Linked DNA regions of Rattus norvegicus. The protein of the gene in region 1 interacts with the protein of each later gene in a biochemical or structural test. Links are inferred from orthologs where the notes say so. Each region holds a gene or a part of one and is shown in the gene's direction. Other genes may lie near its edges.

Region 1 (4,508 bases):
TTCCATCCCCACACTGACTTCATACCTAGGATTCTGTAGAGCCCAGGGCTCATGGATAAAATGTAACCCAGGAATAACTGATCCTGCCACAATGTTAATATAATTTCAGGAGGGCATGGTAGGTACCTATGTCTCTGGGTAGAATGCTCGCCCCGAATTTGAGAATTCTAGGTTCTATCTCTAACACAGAAAAGAAAAAGGATAACAGGAAAAATATTCCACAAGAATAGGGGTCTAGGGGTCCTGCGTTCAACTCCCATCTTCCTACAAAAATGCCAGGCTCTCTCTGAAATCATTTTTCCTGTCCTCTAACACATACCGTTTGAAAATATCAGTTCAGCCTTTTAAATCTTGCTCGATCTTATCTAGGGGGGGTCTCCTTTTCCCAGATAAAAAACAGGCGTGACATTATTCCGGAAGCTTTCGGGGAAAGACGCTGCACTGTCATTTCCGTACCGCAAAATGGCGCTCTCATAATCTCTAAGAGTTGATACAATCAGAGCTACAGGGAGCCATGACGCATGCGCACCAGCAACAACAACAAAACACCCACAAGGTTCAGTTTCCCGCGCTGGAACCTTTCCAAGCATCCGTGTAAAGCATCGCGTGCCCAGGAGCGCGAGGACCCAAGGGGGAACCTGTCGGTTGGGGTCCTGCTTTTACATAACGCCCCCACAATGCTCTTCGCCACCCTCGCCCTGGTCCCTCCAGCACCAAGCTCCTTTCCTGGAGCTGGGAGGCCACCCTCTGCGTTCAGAAAGACTCTGAGGACACAGAGGGGGAGACCTGTGGAATGCCGAGGAGCTGTGAGATGAAGTAACATCACGGCACCCCTCACCACTACTCTGAGCAGGGTTTGAAGAACAGTTAGGGTCCGCAGCAGGACGCTCCATCAAGCTCTGAGGAAATGGAGAAGTACAAAGGGACGAGCGGCAGAATGGCTGGCCCCACCTCAGGTTAGCGCGCAGGGCGGTCTAGATTCTCACGCCGTATGCACAGCTCAGCGCGTCCTAAGCACACCCGACCTAAGTCCCTCACCACACCTCTGCGCATGCCGGAGCCCGAGCGCGCTCTGTCGCGGGCCTGGCAGGAGAGCCAGGGTCCAGTGGGTTGGCCTGGCACGGGGAGGAGGGAGAAAAACTAAAGCGCAACGCCGAGAGAGCACCGTAGGGATGACAATCACCCCGGGCGCTAGCCCCGTAGTCTAGCCAGCCTCCTAAGACTATATTTCCCAGGCTTCCTGGTCGAGAAGACTCCGTGCTAGGCTTCCGCTTCCGGTGGCGCTCCGTTCGCCCCGCCCCCGGGCGGCTTCCTCTAGGGCCTCGCGGCCCTAGAGTCATGCGCGGGTCCTCCTGGGATTGGTAGTTTGCCTTCCCTTCATTTCGTCAGTTTCTCTCTCCTGACGGGACTACATCTCCCGGCGTCCACGGAGGTAGGGGGGCGGTCCTTAGCGCCTGCGCGTTGCTCTCTTCTCCCCCCCAACCCCTAAACCCTCACCAGTTTCCAGTCCCCCCCTCCCCACTTCGTCTGCCGCGGCCGGGTCGGCTTTTTGCGCTGTAGCGGTCTCTGCCGTTCCTTGGAAGCACAGCTCCCCTTCCCCGCCCCAGTCCCAGTCCCCGTCCGGCCGGTGAGTGTGGGGTTGTCTCCGCGCCCAGTCGCCGGTCCCTGGGCGCGGCACTCGGGTCGGTGCTCCTCGATGTGGGGGCGACGAAGGAAGTGACCGGGTCGGTAGCCGAAGGAGGTCGGGGGGCCTGGGGAGAGGAGGCGGCTTGTGGGGACGCTCGTGAGTCCCACGGAAGTGTGGTGCCCTCGCCAACCCTGCGAGGGCAGGAGAGGCCGATTCTGTTGGGTAAAATGAACTTCGGGAGCTTTGGGACAGGCGCCAGGAATATGCAGGCACCTGCGGTGGTGGGGAGCCCGAGCCGAGGGCCCTGTCGCGGCTGACATGGAGGGGAGAGGGGCCTGGCCGTGAGGAGCGCCAGGGACGGGGGTAACACTAACAGATCAGGACCTGTCATTTTCTGGAAAGTAGCGGAACTCGTTCTCAGCACACTGTAAGGGGGGGCCGAGCTAAAGGAGAGGAGCTTGGAGATGCTTCAGAGGCCGGGATCCTTTAAGCCCGGCTGGACTCGGATTCATCCGTCGTTGTGGAGAACGTGTGGGAGGAGGGAAGAGACCAGAAACAGCTTGGTCTCCACTTACTTAGGCTCTTCTTTCTCAGCGGACATAAAGATGAGTAGCTCTGAGGAGGTGTCCTGGATTTCCTGGTTCTGTGGGCTCCGTGGTAATGAATTCTTCTGTGAGGTGAGTTTAGGTCGGCCAACTCCACATGCCCTCGATGTTTGATTTTACGTCGTTTGAGAGCAGATTTCGATCGAGCTCACTATGCAGACTAGACTGGCCTTGAACTCCTGGCAATCCTACCGGCCGCCTCCTGAGTGCTAGTATTGTGAGGGTTTGTCAATATGCATGGCTAACAGAGGTGTCTCTGGTGACCATTAGGGCAGTTAAAACCTCTCATGTCAAAGTTGTGTAACGTGCAAAGCACGGTGTGCTAAGGTAGAAAATTATAAATACCTTTCAGAAACTAAACTACTTGACCTTCATGATTCCGAGGTCTTCAGCTCAGGAGTCTGCTGTCCCCAAGAAGAGGGCACATGCAATTTGTAAAATGAGGGACAGAAGCTGAATAATGTCTTTGTGTGCTGGATCTGGTTTGCCTTAAAGAAAAGAGCTGCAGTTTTTATGAAACTTGAGTACTTCTGCAGAACTGGGACTAGGAAACATGAGAGGTGGCTTGGCTGAGGAAAGACTATCTCCTGGGCCCAGGTGGGAAGATGACGGGCCTTTCTATACTGGTTTGAACCCCTTGACTCCCCTGTAGGTGGATGAAGACTACATCCAGGACAAATTTAATCTTACTGGACTCAATGAGCAGGTGCCTCACTATCGACAAGCCCTAGACATGATCTTGGACCTGGAACCTGGTAACTAACGTGTGTCCTGGGTTGTTGCTGACTGTGGGGTTGGTGATAGAGTGCACTTGTGGGTGCTTTGTTTCCGTTCTCTTCTGCTCTCTGCTTGCTTGCTTCTTGAATTTGTTGATGTTGGGGTTTTTTTGTTTGTTTGTTTGTTTGTTTGTTTGTTTTTGTTTTGTTTTGTTTTTTGCGGGGAGAGGGGTAGTGGAGACAGGATTTTCCTGGGTAGCCTTGTCGGTCCTAGAACTCAGTCTGTAGACCAGGCTGTCCTCGAACTCACAGAGATCTGTCTGCCTCTGCCTCCTGAGTGCTGGAATCACAGACTGGCTTGCTTCTTGAATTTCTAAATTTCCTTTTGATTCTCGCTTGCTCCTGTGTTTCCTCCCCCACCTCTAGCCCCTCCATTCATAACCCAAACTGGACTTTACCACGTGCTGTCCTGCCCTAGCTTTCCATGCTGGAGAGAGGCACACAGCAGTGCTTAACTTCTCCACTGTTTTGATTCCTTGCCTGGTCTTGATGCTCTCTGAAAGCAGCTCGGCTGTTTTGTAATGGTGATTTCCTCTTGGGCCTGGTGTGCTGCCTCTTTCCCTCTGCTGCCCTCGAGGGCCACCTCTGTGGTTGTGTGTTTACATTTACTTACTGTGGAAGGAGAGAGGGACTTAGGCAGAGACTAAGGCATACAGAGAGGCTGCGCTGAGGGTCTTGACCTTGTAGAGGAGTCAGGAGCCCAGGTTTCTGGGTCAGATGCATGGATGGTGGGTAGGGCGAGCTTAGGAACAGGTACTGCAGGTAAGGTAGGGATACCTAGGGAAGCTAAACAAGTGGCCGCCCCACATTTCAGATGAAGAGCTGGAAGACAACCCCAACCAGAGTGACTTGATTGAGCAGGCGGCCGAGATGCTCTATGGGTTGATCCACGCCCGCTACATCCTCACCAACCGGGGCATTGCACAAATGGTGAGGCTCTGCTCCTGCTACTTCTACAGGAGGGGAAGGGTGCATGAGTCAGAGGCTGGGGAAGAGGAGAGAGGGAGATGCCCAGGGCAGGGCCACTGAGGGTCCCATTGAAGGTGGTGTTTTCAGGAAGGGAGATGAAACCAGAAAAAGGAGTTTGCAGGGGACACATGGCAAACAGCCCTGTGCTCTGCAGCCGGCCCCACGAAGGAAAAGCACCTGAGGGGTTGGAGGGCCTGTCTCCACAGAAGGGGCTTCTAGTCAGACTCGGGAGGCGTGGGGGAACCGGGAGTGCGTTGAGATTGCCTACGCACTCACCGACCACTCCCTTCTGTTTTATACATGTCAGTTGGAAAAGTACCAGCAAGGAGACTTTGGCTACTGTCCTCGAGTATACTGTGAGAACCAGCCGATGCTTCCCATCGGTGAGTGTTTATGGGAGGAGGGCACTCTCTGGCCGTCCTGCAAGAAGCTGGCTTGGTGTACACAGTGCCTGAGTCCTGTGGGAGGCTGGGGAGAGTTGGGGACTCCTGGTCTGCATTCTGGCTTTCTATCTCCCAGGCCTTTCGGACA
Region 2 (4,562 bases), on another chromosome or scaffold:
AGCAAATAAACACAAACTGTGATCAAAGTATGAACAGCACTCAGTGCTGTCAGGATTCTACAGGAGAACATAACTCAAGTGTGCAGAGAGGTCAACAAAAGCCTTCAGTAAAAACAATCTGAGACCTAAACATGTCCAAAAAAATCTTCTAAGAGAAGGGAGAGGCACATTCCAGGCACAGGGAAAAGCATATGGGAGCATCCCGAGGCTATAAGAATTTGACACAAAGGGTCCTGGGATCAAAACAGCAAGAGGGAGCAATGGGACAATTAGCTATAGCTGGATGACTAAATGCTTCGAAAGCTCCAGAAATGAACTTGGATTTTTTTTTTATAATGGTAACAGCTAGCAGTGGATTCCAGTAGTGCTTATCAATCAGATTGGAAAGATCACTCTTGGCCGAACGGAGGAAACAGGAAAGAGCAGCACAGGCGTGCCTTCCAGATTTCTCACTGTGAGCCTAGCATCTCTAAGCAGGCTGCCTGCAGGTGAGCGGCACTCTGATAATGTTTGCAGAATGAATGAATTAGTGTGGAAACAGTAGGCTGTAACAGAAGAAAAGACTTGAAGCCGAACGGGAGTTCAGAGATCAGATGTTGTCTGAATTGACAGAATGTATTAATGCTTAAAGCAGCACTTGGGAGAAAAGTGAAAAGAGCCAAACACGACTGCCACGAATCTGGATTGGACCGAGTGTATGGCTGGAAAGGACAGTTTAAGGAGATGGGTAAGAAAGCGTTGCAGGGAAATGGTACACAGCGGACTATCAGATCCCCACCCCACCCCTAACCCCCACGACAAATAAGTTCCAGGGTCCTGGGATTGAGTTTCCTAAACATGAGGGGCTGTGCTTGGCTCTACGCCCCCTGGCTCTCCCAGGTCCGCTGGCATTGCGATAGTTGGAGCTGTGAGGTGTGAAGGCGCAGCCATAGTAAGAAAGGACTGGACAAATGGCGCAGAATATCTGAACCTCGGTTTCCCGGTGATTTCGAGGGAGCAACGCTCTCGGGCTGAGCTGAGTGTAAACCCGCTCCCTAAAAATTCCGAGGTGTGGAAACCGCCGCTTTAAACCCGGGCCTGCGAATATGCAGCGCCACGTCACATCGGCCTCCTCTCGCCCCAAGTCCTCCAAGTCCCCTCACGACTTACCTGCCGAGCCGTCTCGACAGCGCGCTGCGGCCCAGACGACTGTCGGTAGAAGCTTCTCTTCAGTAACTGCAATCGGCGGCTGCCACGGATACTGGACCTATAAACCACACGTCACTCCCAAGACCAGAAGCACTACTATCCGCCCTCCCCGAGGTGTTTGCTGGGAAATAGAGGCAACACGAGAGAAATAACTCCCCACTAGGTCCAGAAGCCTTTGCGCCGGGGGCGGGATGTGTGTGTGTGGGGAGACTATGACACCGGAAGTAGATTGTTCCCAAACCCGGAAGTAAAAAGTAGTCAAACTTCTGAGAGTTTTCTACTTCAATGTCCAGTCGCGCGCTGTGCATGCCGGGTCTTGTAGTCTGTTTCCCCGATATGCAGGGTTGGGCTGTAACTCCGAAGTCGGCGGGCGCAGGATGTGAGCTCACAGCCGAGATTGCAGATAGCTAGCTACAGGCCAGAGGCCGCACGGAGTTCGCTTGCCACTTGGCTGAGAGGAAAGGCGCCCCCGCGGACGGTGAGAGCTAGACGTGCGGGTGCAAAGGGGAAGGATAGGCTCTGCCGAGTCTTGGGCAAAAGGCACGGGACGGCGCGCGGGGTTGAAGTTCTGGTCTTCTAGGGAGGATCTCAGTTTTATCAGAAGAGGAGGGGTGTGGCGGGGAGAGCAGCCTACACTGCCACGAAAGACAAGGGATATTTCTCCATTTCCACAGGAGATCCTTTGGGTGAAACATAAGTGTCGCTTCCACGATTTCTGAACTTTCTAGCCAAAATCAACTCTCCCACCTTCTCGCCGTACCTTTCTTCCTTTAGGACCTCTAAAGACTACCGCGATCGTTTGCCCTTTGTTCTGCTTGGCTTCGCATTAGGTTCCCATAGAGACACCTGTACGTCCCCAACCCCAGGATTACCCCTCTATCCACAGGCGAAGTCTAGAGGAAAGAGCGCTGAGAGTATCAGTGGAAACTTCATCCTCTCAGAAATTTCTTTCTAGGGCGTCACCTGCCATTGGACTCTTGGAACTCATTGGTCTGGGTGGAATCTGGTCTGACGTCATCTAGGACTCAAAGTGGCTGCTTTGTAGGAAAAGAATAGATTAGCTCCGGATTTGATTTCCTCAATTGGCAAACCTAGTTCACCGAGTTTCTTTGATTTGGCAGAACGTGTTTATGTGCTTCTTGATTCTGCGGAAATGGGGATTGGACACAAAATATGTGAGGAACTTGCTAACACTTGTTAAGGGGGTGAATGTTTTTTCCTCCTTTGAGGTAAAGCAGTCGCTCACCATTCTAGCATTCTAGTGTTACTGTCAGTTACCCGGAGCTCATATTCCATCACTGAAACAAATAAGAAGCCATAAAAAGGATGTGCTACTTAATATAGCACCACCCTATCCTTCCCCAGACAGCCCCCACCCCAGGGACATACCAAAATCTTTTCAGGGTCAGTTTTAGTTTAACAAGCTGATCTATATTGAATACTTAAGAGTGCCTTTCTTGTTTGAGGACCAGTGTTCTGGGTTTTACCTGTAAGACATGAGGAGTAACAGTAAACGACTGAGTGTTCTGGGGTTTAAAGAGGTTGGTTCCGCTTTGGGTTTTGAGGTCATTTCTGTCTCCAGCATTGCTGCTGCGGTCTAAGCCTTTGTCATCAATTGCCTGGACCACTCCTCCCTCCGGTCTTCCCACTTCCTTTCATGTGCCTTTGCACTCCACACAGCATCAAGTTGTCCTCGGAAACTATAAATCAGATCACATCTCTTCCCTGCTAAGAGCCTCCCAGGTTCCCAAAGTCGCTGCAATTCCCATAACCCCCGGCTCTTCCTGTCATGTAATACTTGCTTTCTCTGGCTTTCCATCAGACCGTCTTCCCCCTTTTTGTTGTATACTAGCTACCATGTCACTACTGTCCCCAAAACTTGTACCTTTTGAGTAATTTATGTGTGCGGTGACTTTTGGCTGCATGTGTGTCTGTACACCACGTGTGTGCCTGGAGCCCACACTGACCAGAAGAGGGCATCAGAACTTCTAGAACTGGACTTAAAGATGGTTGTGAGCCACCATCTAGGAATGCTAGGAATTGAACCTAGATCCTGGAAGAGCAGCCAGTACACCTAACTCCTGAGCCATCTCTCCAGCCCCATAAAACTTGTTTCGCTTTTTAAAATGTGTTTGTACGTGTGTGTGCCTGAGTGTATATATGAGTACTGTGTGCGTGCATGCAGCAGTACCCAGAAGAGGGTATCAGATTCCCTTGAAACAGGACAGAGTATTGATTTGGGTGCTGGGAACCGTACCAGGGTCTATTGCAAGAGGAATACACACAGGTTCTTATCCTCTGAGCAATTTCTTCAGCCTCTAAAACCTGCTTAGATAGGAGCTTTGCTCTTGCTGCCTAGACTCTACTTCTTGGACCTTGGCTGAAACGTCATCTTCAATTGGTCTCAAGCCTCAACCTGATCGTTCTCATGAGATTCCTGTATTCTCAGTGACATTGATGGCCTCTATAACTGTCCGCCACTTTGTTCCCTCATTTATAGTGTATCTTCTGGTCTGTTTTTGTCTGAGGTAGGATCTCTATGTAGCCTGGAACTTCCAATGCTGGGATCAAAGGCATGTGCCACCACACCCAACTAGTCTGTCTTCTTCCGCTGGAATGTGGGGTTCATGAGGGTAGAACTCTTCTGTATTTCTTCTTCCTTTCTAATCTCAGTGCCTGACACAGTAGGACCATAATAAATGCTTCTTTTTTTTTTTTTCTTGTTGGGCTGAGGATGTAGTGTTTGCTTAGCATGCATGAAATCCTGGATTTGGTCCTCAGCACCATATAAAGTAGGCACATGGCTAAAACCCCAGCACTCGGGAGATGGAAGCCGGAAGATCAGAAATGCAGTCAGTGTTCTCAGTAAGCTGGAGGCCAGACTGGGCTACAAGAGACCCTGTCTCAAAACAGCAAGTCTTATGAACATTATGGTGTTTTTTGACTTCCTTGAAGCAAAAACGGTGTATTTATATGGTTCCTACTGCTTACTATAACAGGTTCCAAATAGTTTTATTGTCAAGTGAATTAAGTGAGATAAAATATATATACCCAATGCCTATAAAACTCAGTACCACAAAGCTAAGCATGAAGTGAATTAAACTATGATACTTTTTCTTTGGTGAATGGATTTTAGTGATTTATTTATTTATTTATTTATTTATTTATTTTTGGTTTTTTTGAGACAGTGTCTCTATGGAGCCCTGGCTGTCCTGGATTTGCTTTGTAGATCAAGACGGTTTTGAACTCCCAGAGCCTGCCTCTGGCTCCCAAGTGCTGGGATTAAAGGTGTATGCCATACGCCTGGTTTATTTTTAATTTTTTTAAAAGATTTATTTATTGATTTTATATATAAGTACACTGTAGCTGTCTTC

What was found.
Region 2: the proteins of Csnk2b (region 1) and Tnfaip1 form a complex in vitro, tested with the Homo sapiens proteins (2 studies listed by BioGRID, with this or other methods). The link is inferred for Rattus norvegicus from reciprocal best matches to the Homo sapiens genes CSNK2B and TNFAIP1.

The regions. Positions count from the first base shown.
Region 1 is NC_086038.1:3,704,215-3,708,722, forward strand, and holds the start of Csnk2b (casein kinase II subunit beta), read left to right. Parts: upstream 1-1,508; 5' UTR 1,509-1,627; intron 1,628-2,221; coding exon of another isoform or gene 2,222-2,232; coding exon 2,233-2,304; intron 2,305-2,884; coding exon 2,885-2,987; intron 2,988-3,822; coding exon 3,823-3,938; intron 3,939-4,284; coding exon 4,285-4,360; intron 4,361-4,496; coding exon 4,497-4,508. Other genes in the region: Gpank1 (G patch domain and ankyrin repeat-containing protein 1), read right to left, coding at 554-590. UniProt on the Homo sapiens protein: Regulatory subunit of casein kinase II/CK2.
Region 2 is NC_086028.1:63,927,449-63,932,010, reverse strand, and holds the start of Tnfaip1 (BTB/POZ domain-containing adapter for CUL3-mediated RhoA degradation protein 2), read left to right. Parts: upstream 1-1,496; 5' UTR 1,497-1,666; intron 1,667-4,562. UniProt on the Homo sapiens protein: Substrate-specific adapter of a BCR (BTB-CUL3-RBX1) E3 ubiquitin-protein ligase complex involved in regulation of cytoskeleton structure.